Linked DNA regions of Rhinolophus ferrumequinum. The protein of the gene in region 2 interacts with the protein of the main gene of each other region in a biochemical or structural test. Links are inferred from orthologs where the notes say so. Each region holds a gene or a part of one and is shown on either strand. Other genes may lie near its edges.

What was found.
Region 1: the proteins of FYN (region 2) and GTPase HRas-like form a complex in vitro, tested with the Homo sapiens proteins (2 studies listed by BioGRID and IntAct). The link is inferred for Rhinolophus ferrumequinum from reciprocal best matches to the Homo sapiens genes FYN and HRAS.

What each region holds. Positions count from the first base shown.
Region 1 is NC_046304.1:5,548,046-5,553,592, forward strand, and holds GTPase HRas-like, read left to right. Parts: upstream 1-4,383; 5' UTR 4,384-4,398; coding exon 4,399-4,968; downstream 4,969-5,547. UniProt on the Homo sapiens protein: Involved in the activation of Ras protein signal transduction. Ras proteins bind GDP/GTP and possess intrinsic GTPase activity.
Region 2 is NC_046286.1:63,827,447-63,835,450, reverse strand, and holds the start of FYN (tyrosine-protein kinase Fyn), read left to right. Parts: upstream 1-4,717; 5' UTR 4,718-5,218; intron 5,219-8,004. UniProt on the Homo sapiens protein: Non-receptor tyrosine-protein kinase that plays a role in many biological processes including regulation of cell growth and survival, cell adhesion, integrin-mediated signaling, cytoskeletal remodeling, cell motility, immune response and axon guidance.

The DNA of each region.
Region 1 (5,547 bases), on a different chromosome or scaffold from region 2:
CCAGAAAATTCACAACACTCTCAAGTATAAATACTCTGTCCTGTTTTCCCCATAAGCAGGCTTGCCTGGGTCCTCATTTTTATTCTAAACTCCTGTCCCCTCAGTTCAGAAAGGATCCAAGTCTTCAGTGCCTTTCCCAGGCCCCTCCAGACCACAAAGGTCCCAGGTACCCATTAAAGAGTGGTTACAGGGCCCACTCATCGATTGCTGCTGTGTAAATTGATACATCTACAGTAGGCAATTTGGCAAAATCTATCAAACTTACAAACACATAGACCCTTTGTCCAGAAAGTCCACTTCTCAGAATTCATCCCACAGATACACATCCTCTCTGAATTATGGAATAACCTAAATACAGGATGAGATATTGCAGCTTTGGTTCTAATAGCAGAGGACTGGAAATTACCTAAATGTCCATCAATAGATAACTAGTAAAATATATTATTGTAAATCTATACAGTGGAATAATGAGCAGCATTAACAAATGAGGAAACTCTATATGCATTGATTGATATGGAGCAATCTTCTAGATATAATACGAAATATTAAAAAATCAAGGTGAAAACTATATACAGAGGGTGCCAAAAAATGAACACACATTTTAATAAAGAAAAACACTGTACTAAAATTGTAATACTTAATATATAATAAATATATAATATATATATTTATATAACATATAAATATATATATTTATATAATAAATATATTTATTTATTATATAAATATATATAAATAAATATATATTTATATATATAAATAAATATATATATTTATATATATAAATATATATAAATATATATATAAATTATATATATAAATTTATATATATAATATATATAAATTATATATATAATTTATATATATAAATATATACATAAATAAATATATATTTATATAATAAAATTTATATAATATTATAATATATATAATATATAATAAATATATAATAAATATAATAAAAGATGAATACAAGTCATGTGTATACATTTTTTTGGCACCTCTAGTATATAGCATACTTTCATTCATTTTTAAAGGAAAAGTTTATCTATGCATTTGCTTTTTATGTTTTTTTATGCATAATGTAGCTTATTTTTAGCTGAAAAACTTCATTTTTCCTTACTAAAAATATGATATTTTGTGATGGTATATAATATTGTTGAATGATAACCCTATCTCAATCTATTAAAATATTGACATTTGTTTTATTCACTCGTTTATTTACTTAGGTGAAACATCATGCAACAGCTAGTTATTTGGTGGGAAAAAAATGTTCTCATGTCTGGAAGATATATAGATAAGCTTAAGAATAATAGGTACCATGAGAAACTTTAAGAATGTTTCTCTGGAATTTGACAAAATTCCCTGTACTTCTGTCTCTTCTAAATTTCTACAATAAAGCCTAGTACACTTAATGGAGCCGTCCTTTAAGAACACACATATTTACTTTATCACAAATACATAATATCAAAAGGCATTGCATTCATTCAACAAACATTAAGATAACACTGCCGTCAGATGCTGAGGAAACGGTGACAAACAAACAAGGTGGTGCTGCCACAGGAGAGAGTGGATGAACACACAAATAATAGTCACACTGTGCTAAGTGCTATGGAGAAAAATACAATACGGTACATACGGTGAATAACAGACACCCAAAGTTTTCTCCTTTCTGCCACAGAAAGTACAAAAAGGAAAGAAGAGAACTAAACTGCTGGCCATTCAATGACACTAAAATAAGCCACACTGAGCATTTGTCATGGCTGATAAATTCATGAGAGGGACTGGGATTTCAGCAGAAAGGAATATTCCAGTGGAATGATGGATTAATTCCATTCATAATCTAATTGGAAATGGACAATGCCTATCAGTGGCCCAGGATAGACATTTAGATATTAATAAAATAAACAAAAAGCCTGAAGATAAATATTCTTTGAGATTTAAAAACATACAAAGCCTGACAGCCAGGAATACGGTGAGAATGAAAATAGGAATGTACAGAGGCCCTCTGCCTAGAACCAGAAACCTGCGAAACCAAGGAGTAGTGTTATAAAGGTATAGGAACCCCTCCCCCAGCCCCCAATGTAGCTAGTGGCAAATTAAACATACACCCACACACACATACATACATACACAGCCTGGTAAAAGAGAGCTATTCAAGGTCAATGTGATATCTGAGGGCTCTATCCTGGTAGGTGAAAGGTGAAGAATATGAACAGGTAATTGCTTATCCCATATTACACACAACAGTCTCAGAACAGCATGCCGAATTTAATTTCTGAGAGTCAATTAAAATTTTTTTTGCATATCCTTCCCATTTTCCCCTTATTTCTAGGGTTGTTCCATACCTGCATTGTCAGATCAGATAACAGCCATCATAAGCACTGCCCTGTCTCCTCGCTAACCCTCAGTAAATCTTAGTTCTACAGTAACTTGATGTTGAAAGCTCAACACCAGCCCTAATGGCACTGTCTCTAACCATTTCAGTTGTCTGTTAACTTGTCCTCTAGAATATTCCTCAGTAAAAAACTGTCTTCAAGATGTTATTCCATTTTCCTGTAACATAAAGCAGTATTGTCAAAAATCTGATGATAATCTAATTCATTTTTTGAGTGACTGTTTTACCTCTTGCCCAAAGGATTTCTTTTCTTTGTTTAAATCCAAAAGTTTTACTAGATATGTCTTGGTATTAGCCATTCTGGGTTGGTACTCGCAGGGACATGGTAACTTTCAGTGGGCAGTTTCCAATCTTTTTGTACTTCAGGAAAGTTCTCTTAAATTATAGTTCTGTTCCACTGCCCTGTTTTTCTCTTTGGAGACCCACTGTTATGCTGATATGAAACACCATCCGTGCGCCACGTCCATCTCAGTCACCTACTTCCACCACAATCCCTACTTCTCTCTCTTCCTGGCACTCAGACCACAGTTACTACAACACTCGCTTTTCAATTTTCTCTCTCACTTCCCTGCTTTCTCTTTCTCTCCTCTCCCTAGACGACAATGAACTCCTTAAGAACTATCTCATTGTCTTATTCATCTTTTCTGTATCCCAAAACTGTCTTCAATTACTATAGCTCTGAGCTCCTTGTAGATAGTCATCGAATATTCTTGTAATTGAATAAAATAACCTCTTTGCCCTGAGACCCCTCTGATTAGCTCCATAGGGATTGTCATAATCTGCTTCTTGTAGTGAAGTAGAGGACATGATAGGGATCTGAAAGCAGAAAATGCCTTTAAATTTCCAATAGGTGGCTGGGAGCCCTAGAACCAGCTGTCTCCTCCCTATGGGCCTTTCATAATCCACTGTCATAATCCTGGATGAAATGCATAGGCTTATTCTGCTAGGTTTGATTGCTTAGCTTAGAAAGTAGTGCATAGCTTCATATATCATTATTAATAAGAAAGAAAGGCCATTAAAATTTTTGCTTATACTTGCTGGGTTTGTGATTGTTTGGGTGTAATTCACTTTGCCTACCTTTCACACTTGCTTTGTTTAATAATATTTTTCTCAAAACGGAGTTATTCCTGATTCTCGTTTTCATAAAGGATGTAATTTTCATGCACTAATTAAAAACAGCCTCTTACTTTGTCTTTGACTAATATTGCATTGATGTATTCCAGGTCGTTAAACTGACAGTCCAAGTATTGTTTTACTTCTACTAGTTTTAAATAACTTTTTATCACTTTTTATTTCTAGTCAAATTAGATTATGATCATTGTTCTCTTCCAAAATCAGCTGTAAACTAGAACAGAGTTTTCCAATGTTTTTGCTTGCAGAGGCCCCCAAAATATTTTCAAAAACTACTTTAAAAAGTTTCATTATATGTTTACATAATCCCTTCCAGCACTTTATACTTATTAATATTTGTAAATAAAAGTGTTACATCACTTTTAAAAGGTTCCTTCTTCAACAAATCAGTCTAATCAATACTCAGCAGTCTGTCGACAGACGAGGAATCTTAGGGTGGGTTTATTAAGCCCCTAGACTCTAGACCTGGACTGCCTGAATTCCGATCCCGCTCCCCCATATACTGTGATTTTAGCAAGTTATCTATTACCTCTGTCCTGTTTCCTCATTCACAAAAACCGCACTGAGAATAAGCACCTCGTAGCACTCATAAGCACATACATGGCACAAAGCAAGCCCTAGCGGGACATCAGATACTACAGCTATTAGAACAAGTCTTCTTAAAAAGACACCGTCTTGGTGTCCGCCCCCCACGCTCACGCGCACCGCCCACAGACGAGGCCGCACCCACCGCCGCAGGAGCCCGCGCGCCATAAGAGCTGCGCGCCCGGCCCCCACCCCCACCCGCTCCGGCCTGAGGGGCTGCAGCTCCAGCGATCGCTGGGACAGGACACCAGCACAGCACCTCGTGCTGAGTCCCTGGAGGCAACATGACGGAGTATAAGCTCGTGGTGGTGGGCACTGGCAACGTGGGGAAGAGTGCCCTGACCATCCAGTTCTTCCAGAACCACTTCGTGGAAGAGTACGACCCCACCATCGAGGACTCTTACCGGAAGCAAGTGGTTATCGATGGGGAGACGTGCCTGTTGGACATCCTGGACACGGCCGGCCAGGAGGAGTACAGCGCCATGCGGGCCCAGTACATGCGCACTGGCGAGGGTTTCCTCTGCGTGTTCGCCATCAACAACACCAAGTCCTTCGAGGATATCCACCAGTACCGGCAGCAGATCGGGCAGGTGAAGGACTCGGACGACGTGCCCATGGTGCTGGTGGGGAACAAGTGTGACCTGGCTGCACGCACCGTGGAGACCCAACAGGCGCAGGACCTGGCCTGCAGCTACGGCATCCCCTACGTCGAGACCTCGGCCAAGACGCGCCAGGGCGTGGAGGACGCCTTCTACACGCTGGTGCGTGAGATCCGGCAGCACAAGCTACGCAAGGTGAGCCCGCCAGATGAGGGCAGCCCCGGCTGCATGAGCAGCAAATGCGTGCTCTTCTGAGTGCCCGCTCGTCCCCCGTGCCCGCCTCCACCGGCTCAGGCCTGGCGGTGCTGGATGCTGGGGGGAGGGGAGAAAGGCTGGTGCGGCCACAGCCCGGCCAGCCCACGGTCTGTGGCCAGTGACCGCAGGCCTCCCAGGACACTTTGCATAGACTGTCGTGAACTGATGCCATTCTTTAGACTTTGCTGATAACTTAAATTAACTTTAATAAAGAATTGGGAGATCACTCCTTTCTGTCGGTGGACGCCACCGAGGAAGCATCGTGGAGGTCTCCCCATCCTGTGGTCGTCATGTCTAAGTCAGAGTCTCCCCAAGAGCCTGAACATCTGCAGAAGCCCTTCATCGGAGGTTTGAGCTTTGAAACTACCGATGAGAGTCTGAGGAGCCATTCTGAGCAATGGGGATCGCTCACTGACTGTGTGCTGAGGAGAGACCCAGACACCAAGCGCTCCAGAGGCTTTGGGTTTGTCACTGATGCCACCATGGAGGTGGATGCAGCCGTGAAGGCAAGGCCACACGTGGATGGAAGAGGTGTGGAACCAAAGAGGGCTGTCTCAAGAGGAAATTCTCAAAGACCCG
Region 2 (8,004 bases):
TCCTGACAGGCCCAGCTTACACAGTACTGACGCTAACATGTTGAGAACACGTAGCAGCGGTCCAGTGAACCTGGGCTCTAAAACCATGTTTATAATAACTCTATTATGTCTATTTAGCCCAGTCTCCACCTTTTTAAGATGGAAGAAAACCAAAAGGGTTCTGCTGTGGCCCTGCCAGGAGAAGCTACTATCCAGTTTGGACAAAGTTAAAAAGAGAGAGTTGGTATAAAAGTACCTGAATCCCAGCTTCAGAAGCTCAGCTGGGCCTCTTCCAAAGGCAGTTTAGACACCACCTATCCCCCCACCTTCTGAAGCTCAGGTTGGGGTGGTGTACAAAGGGTCCTTCCCTTCCCATATGAGATTTTTCCCAGGATCATCTCTTCCTGGCTCAAGGCAAGCTGCAGATCCAATGTACACTAAATCTATTAACTACGCTTTAAACATCACGGGTTTTAAAACAGGTAGCTTTTTCTATAAGAACTTGATGATATGAGACGTCAGACGTAAGAGTTTCACAGTAAATCAGGTGTGCCCAGTACAGAGAGGTTAGCCTGGGTACCAGTTTCCCAGTGGCCTCCTGCTCTGACAGTGAAGTTTTTTGAGAGTCATTTTTACAAGTCCTGGGACATCCACTAGAAAAGCTAGAATGGTGGCTGCCTTTGCATGGGAGCAGAAGACATCCTACCTTCTGAGCCCTGGCACGGCGCCTCTTCTGGATACCACACCTGTAACAAGTCTTGTTCAAAAGGGAAGAAAAACAGCAGAGAATCGGAGGAGGACGAGAAAAGAAAAAAATTAAAGTAGCAAAGGAAGGAAAAAGTTTTAAAACTGTTTAACTGTTTCATCTGTTAACTAATAAGTGCCCAAAGTAAAAAGTTCAGAAAACTAAGAAAAAGATGAAAAATAAAGATGACCTATAATCTGACAACTTGGAGAAAATCACTTAAAATTTTTTTGTGTGTACACTTGCATACTTTTCTATGCAAATTTATATATAGATATGTTTAAAAACAATGGAATATATAGTGTATAAACATACATACCTATATCTACACATACTAATTTGTTGTTCACTTTTTTCTCTTCACAATTTATTGTGAAAATCTTCCAATAAATAAATAGTTGACATCATCATTTTAATGGCTATATAGTGTTCTATTATAGATATAACATAATTTACACACTAAATCCCTTATCAATGAATTTTTCCAATTTTGCACTATTATAAGCAATGCTATAATTACTTACCTCATAGGTATACCTTTGCAGTTGTTTGACTCTTTTTCAAAAGTAAAATTGCTGGGTCAAAGTTATATAGTTTTTAAAAGGCTTTTCATAAATGTTATTCAATTGTCTTCCAGAAATGTTATACCAATGAACACTCCCACTAGTAGGGTGTGGGTATCAATTTCCCCATGTTCTTTTAGTCTTTGGCCAACCAGGTAGTTGAAAAACTATATGTTTGCATTGCTTTGGTTACAAGGGAAGTTGAATCTCTTCACATGTTTACTGGCCATTTTGGGATGCAATTGCTTTCACATGTTTTTCAACTAGAGTATTCAGCTTTATTTTCTTGTTGATTTGTAGTAAGTCTACATCAAGGATTCTTACCCTCACTGTATGTATTGCTATTGAGTTATCACTTAACAGAAAATTAAAACTCAAATGTAACAATAAGGCAGGAAAATAGTTTAACTAGTAAGATTAAAACTAAGGACAACGCTACTTTAAAGGCAAGAGAATAAAAATATCAGTCAAGATAAAACAAAGAAAGCCCAGATAGAAATAGGAAACTTTAAGGTGAAAGAGACAGAAAAATAAAAATAACCAGTACCAGTCAAATCAAAGAGCAATTCTAGAACAATGCTACATTCTAACTTCTATAATATAAGCTGTCCATAAGAAAATGAAACAAAACTGGGGGGTATAGATGACAATGTGACTTATCTCAAGTAGGCCAGGGACAGTGTCATGGATCTTTAGTCAACATCTCTGTAGCAACATGCACAGATCAAAATGGGGAAGAGTATCAAAAATCTTTCATAGTACCCTATATACTTGTTCAGACCATTACCAAATCCTCCAGAGGAGGCCAAATCTATTTAAAGCTACATTTAAAAAGGGCAACAGATAAACAGCGAGGCAAAGAAAGAATTACAAAAACAGGATGAAGTCCTGATGGGAGCAGGTTAATCTGTCATTTTAATTGCTTTGTCTCTTCTTTTTGTTCACTAATTAGAGTAAGAAGCTATTAGAGTTACAGACGCTAAAAAGTGACTCTTCTTGAAGAAACCATAACCAATGAGATGCCTCACCCCACCTACTCCAGATTTCATGTAAGAAAAAGTGATTCTCACATGGAATTCCAAAGGGGTCTGTACCTTCGGAGTGGTTTTTCTGAGGGTGCATGACAGTTTATCTTTGAAAAGGAGGCAGATATGCACACACTGCTTCCATGTCCATTTCGTCTTTACAAAAGTCCTATAAGATCTGTTTTACTGTTTCCCCATTTTATGTATCAGAACACTCAGGTCCAGAAAGGGTAAGTGATTTGCCTCATCAAGGTGTTTTCAACAGTGTGCACTGTGGCGCTGTAATCAAAAACAACTCTAGACCAGTTCTGTCCAAGAGAAACATGATGTGGGCCACATGTGCTAGTTTAAACTTGATAGTAGCTACATTAAAAAAAAATTAAAAGAAATAGGTGAATTAACTTTAATAATATATCTTATTTAGCACACTATATTCAGACTATTATCTTCTTAACATGTAATAAACATAAACATTAATTAGATGGTTTGAATTTCTTTTTTTCATGCTAAATCTCTGAAATACAGTATGTCTGTTACATTTACAGCACATCTCAATTTGCACTGGCCACATTTCAAATGTCAAGTGCATTTCAGATGCTTAATAGCCACATGTGCCTAGTGGCTACCACTCTGGATAGCCTGGTTCTAGGCCAGTGGTTCTCAAGGTGTGGTACACAGACCAGCAGCAGTAGCAGCCTCTGGGAACTGTTAGAAGTGCAAATTCGAGGGCCTCATTCCAAACTTAATGAATCAGACCCTCTGGGTGTGGGGGCCACCAATATGTGTTTTAACAAGTCCCTTTCTGATAATTCTGATATACACCAAGGTTTGAGAACCATTGCTGTAGACAGTTACACATTCAAATAAACCTAAGACGGCCATGACAGGCTAGTACCGAGGAAAAGGAGTCCCTTCTCTTGAGATAATTATCTTCTATGGAAATCTTCTAGTCCTAGTTTTGGTTCCATTTCTTGGGACTACGGAATGAATTACCAGACACATAATTTAAACATGGTTTCACTTATCATTTTGTTTAAGGAGAGAAAAAAACCACAGTGACTATCCTATACTATCACCTTGAGTTTAGGTACTAACTTCTATTGTCCTCAGTTTCCTCATCCATAACATGAGGATCATTTAACAAATGTTAGCAACTTTTTAAAATGTACTTTGTACAAAAAGGAAAAAAGTACCTGTCAAAACAGCAAAAGAGGGAGATATTTTAAAATTGCAGTTAAAAAATTAGTGGGCAGGAGAGGTAATATTATAGATTTTGAGCACAGAAGCAGAAGCCAATTCACTTACATTTCTCAGAACATTAGATTTGCTGAAGGGGGATGGTAGGGTTCTTGCCAAAATCGTTAAGGAGAATCAATCTAAGCATGCCTTAAAGTAGAACTTTCAGTAAACAGGAATTACCTATGAAGAAAATCAGGAAGCCAAAGTGTTTCTTTTTATGAAGTTACATCCTGCCATAGAAAAGCTGGATAGGAAATAAGGACTGATGCACTCCCAAATGTATACTAAACCCGCTATTATTTCATCAAGGAAAATCTAGGCAAAAGCTCAGATTCAGTGAAGGGAAAAGAAAAAAATATATAAGAAGGCTGAATGGCATGAGAAACCAAAGACAACCAATGGCTACAAGTAAACATGACTTTGGAAAAAGCTACACAAACAAATCTCTACTCTGTGATTGCAGATTCCTTCATCACTGCCTGCCCTCTCTGCCTGCTTTCACCATTTCAGTTATACTTCTTCCAGACTTTGGCTTGAACATAAATATATATGTGTGTACGTGTCCACGAAAATAGGAGACTAATAAATTAATCCTAATTTCCTCCTCCTCCTTATTATTAGTAATATTAATTGTGCGTTTCCAGGGCTCTCTTCACTTTTCCAGGGTTCTGTGATGAGATTCTACCTTGCTTCTCACTCTTCGGTTTGATCAGAGAAAACGCTTTCAGCACCCTAACACTTTCCCAATTTATCTTTCCACCTTCAAATGAAAAGACACCAGAAAGGCAAGATAGCCCTTTCTTGAGACAGGTTCCCATGGTTTGGGGGGAATGGCAGATTTCTTTCTGCAGTGGCTGTTGCAACCTTCCGCAAAGCAGAAACTGCAGCCCACTCTCTCCCCTCCGTTCCCCACCCTAACCCACTACCTCACAGGTCTACACAATACTTAAAAACACACACACAACTCCTTCAACCCTGCATCCCATCTCAACACAACACGCCAGGATGCCCGCGGCCACTGTTACGCTCAACCCACTCGGTGGCCCCACCCATTTCAGTCCCGCTCCCGCCTCGACACCAATGGTCGCCGCTTATAGCTCCCGAGGGGCCCGTTGATAGGGTAGCGGGGCCTGCCACTCTCAGGGTGCGTCCCGCCCCCTCCTCACTCCGGGCTGGGGCTTGAAGGGCTGGAGCATCAGCGCTGGTAGCTGCTAGCAGCCGCGGCAGCAGCGGCGTGTCGTTGCAGTTGCGCCATCTGTCAAGAGCGGAGCCGGCGGGGAGGGGGCTGCCGCGGGAGAGGAGGAGGGGTCGTGTGAGCCGAAGGCCGCGGAGACCCGCCCGCCCGCTGGCCGCGGGAACAGAGGCGAGGCTGCCCTCGCAGCAGCGCGTCCTTCGCGGTCCGGTCGCGCAGCGCTTCACCCAGCGCACCGTGGACTCCCGGGGCGCACACAAAGCCGCCGCCTGAGCCGCACCGCCCGGCGGCCGCCGCCCGCGCCACGAAGGGATCCGGCCGCCGGGCCGGGAACACCCGGCGCCGCCCCCTCGGCGCTCTCCGAAGGCCCACCGGCTCCCGGGCCCGCCGAAGCAATCGGAGCTGCCTGAGCCGCGCTGGAGGAGGGCGGGGAGAGGACCATGTGAATGGGTTCCGGAGCCTGAGTGCCGAACAGGTAAGCGGCCGGGGATGCGCTGAGGGAGGCCGCGGGGATGCTGCGGAAACAGGCTGCAGGCACCCCCGCGCTCCGCTGCCCCTGCCGTGGGGCCCCGCGCTGCAGTCTCTTGGCCGCCGCCGCCTCTGGGGCGCCCCGCAGGGCTGCCGGGGGGTTGGCCCCGTTCGGAGTCTTCCCGCGGCCGAGCCGGAGGTACCTCTGCGGGGTGCGGCTCCGAGTTACCGCAGGAATAGGGGCCCATTTTCTCGCTCGTGAGCGGGCGCGGGGTGAGAATAGGAATAGGCTTGGAGACCAGGCTGGCCCAGACTCCGCCCCCGCCCTCCTTTCGGGGGCCCCCCGCGGGGACCCAGGCTGTGTGTGTGTTGTTTCAATGTCAGGGATGATGTAATCACTTAATAATTGATGCCCCGTGCTACTTCGCTCCCCACCCCACCCCTGCCCCACTCTTCCACCTCTCGGCCTCCTCCTTCTGCGGCCGTCTCCTTCCCCATCGCATCCTCCTGCCTATTTCTGGCACCTCCCTTGCACTTCCCCCATCCTCCCCTTCACTCTTCCTGTGCCACCACCCACCCACCCCTTCCCTGTCCCCAGTGCTGGAGACTTCGCTCCTCTTTCTCTGCTCCCCACCCTTTTTCCCTCAAGCTCCTTTCTCCTCCCTTCCCTGTTCGCTGGATTTCCTCTCTACTTCCCTAGATCGATGACTATTTTTGTTTGGTCGCCTCCCCTCTCTTATCTCTGCGGCCACTGGCGGAGGGGACTGGGCCAGAAAGAGGCCACCGAGCTTGGGCCCGGGCGGAGATTTGCTGGGACTCAATGAGAAGAGGGATAATAAAATCACCCTTCTTGCCCCTCCTCCCCCAATAAATCACACAGACTCGCCGTGTGTGTGTGTGTGTGTGTGTGTGTGTGTGTGTGTGACACAAAGAGCTCTTTCAGTGCCCGGAGAGGAGACACACAAAGTACCCAAGGATGGGCGCAATGCTTCTTGTTTCTCTTTCCTGGGGCGCCCTTTCTCTCAGATAAAGCAGTTGATCTTCTTTCTGAGAGTCTTTCCTGCCACATTTACCAAAAAATAAATGGCCCCAGATGCAGGGTGGCAGGTGCTAGCATTTTGCTGTATTCATGGACCGGTAGTGTTGACTGGCAGCTGCAGTATTTCTTAGATTTAAAGGGGAAATGATTCCAGCCATCTTAAGAGTTGCTTTACTTTCAAGGTAGCTAGCCACCTACCCAGCCCCCTGCCTTGTTTTAAACACCTCTTTTGAGGGGTATGGGTACTAAGAGCTGGGGTAGGATAAATTGGTGTGGGGCAGAGATTTTGTTTCTGAATCAGAGAATTAAATTCCTGTTTGATATGAGTGAAGCCACCTGACTTGCTTCTTCTCTCAAGTCTAAGGAGCGCTGAAGCCCTTTGAAGTGAAATCCTGACTGCCCAGTGATTTTTGCTTTGCCCTTATATTCAAACAAGTTCCTGGGGCATTAATAACACAGCATTAAATTGATGTTTGGAAGACCACTGGAACCTGCCTCCTCCCTACTTCAGGGTAGCCTGCAGACACCCACATCCTTCCTCTCACCAACCGAGTGACCGACAGACCTTCCACCCTTTGTGCGCTCTTTCTCCTGAGTCCCTGCCCCATGGGTACTGTGAAGAGACTCGTAGATTTTAGGAGGAAATGGTTTGTTAACTATTTCAGGTTTTGGGTACGCTTAGCTAGGAGCAAAGGATGTATAGAATCTTTTGATTGAACTTGAAATCACCTGCTTGGTGTTCCTCTTAAACAGGAAATGTTAATGTAAATCTGGGGGCTTAATGTTCCGTTTTGAAAGCCAATGACTATTACATGCTTAATCGATAATGTGATAAGGTAGGTTGAAACCGTTGATTCCTAAGAGCGTAGCTCTTTGTCATAAGTAATAGAATGCTCTCAAGTTTGTTCCTCAAGATTTTTATTAGAAAAGAGTTGTTGTAATTCATTAAACATTTGCTTCTGTACTTTCTAAGGACATTCATCATGGAACTTTTTATATTAAAGAAAGCAACAGGGTTAATGAGTTCACTGTAAAAAACAAAGGGTTGTTTGTTTGATGCCAGACCCAGGAAGGAAAGTCAGTGTACAGTAAATTCGCATTCTGTTGACCAAGTTAGGGACTTAATGATAAGTTTGAAAAGTGAACAAATGCACATTTGGCTTACTGTGCCTTTACTCTGTGTTATTTTCTGGGTCTGGAATCTTCAACCCCATCTGATTGGCTTGGGTTCTAATTAACCTTTGGGGCTCAGCTCAGAAGTCATCTCCTCTGTGAAGCTTTCTCCATTCCTTCCCCTCCAATTTTGTTTTCAAATTTCAGCAGCAGGCATTATGTTTGACAGGTGTCTGTCGTTAGTTGATCAGCACATTGAGAGAAGGAACTTGGACTTATTTATTTTGTTTCAACAAATGTAAGTTAGGTCTTTGGTATGTGTTAGGCACCTGAATTAATTATGCTAATGTTAGCAGCTATAACAAGTAGGCCTGCAAAACTATAATAGCTCAAAAGCAATAGACATTTCTTATTCCTCATGGCTTTCCTCCATGCAGTGATTCTAGGCATCACGCTTCACCATCCCACTGGTGCTCCATTGTAATCTGCTTTCAGTTGGCAGAAGGACAAAAGAGGAAATGGAGGGAGTGCACCTACTTTTTAAGTGTCTTGGCCTGGAAATGGCACCCATCACTTCCATTTAACATCCTTTACAGGAGAGCTAGTTATATGGCTACATTTAACTGCAAGGGAGCCTGAGA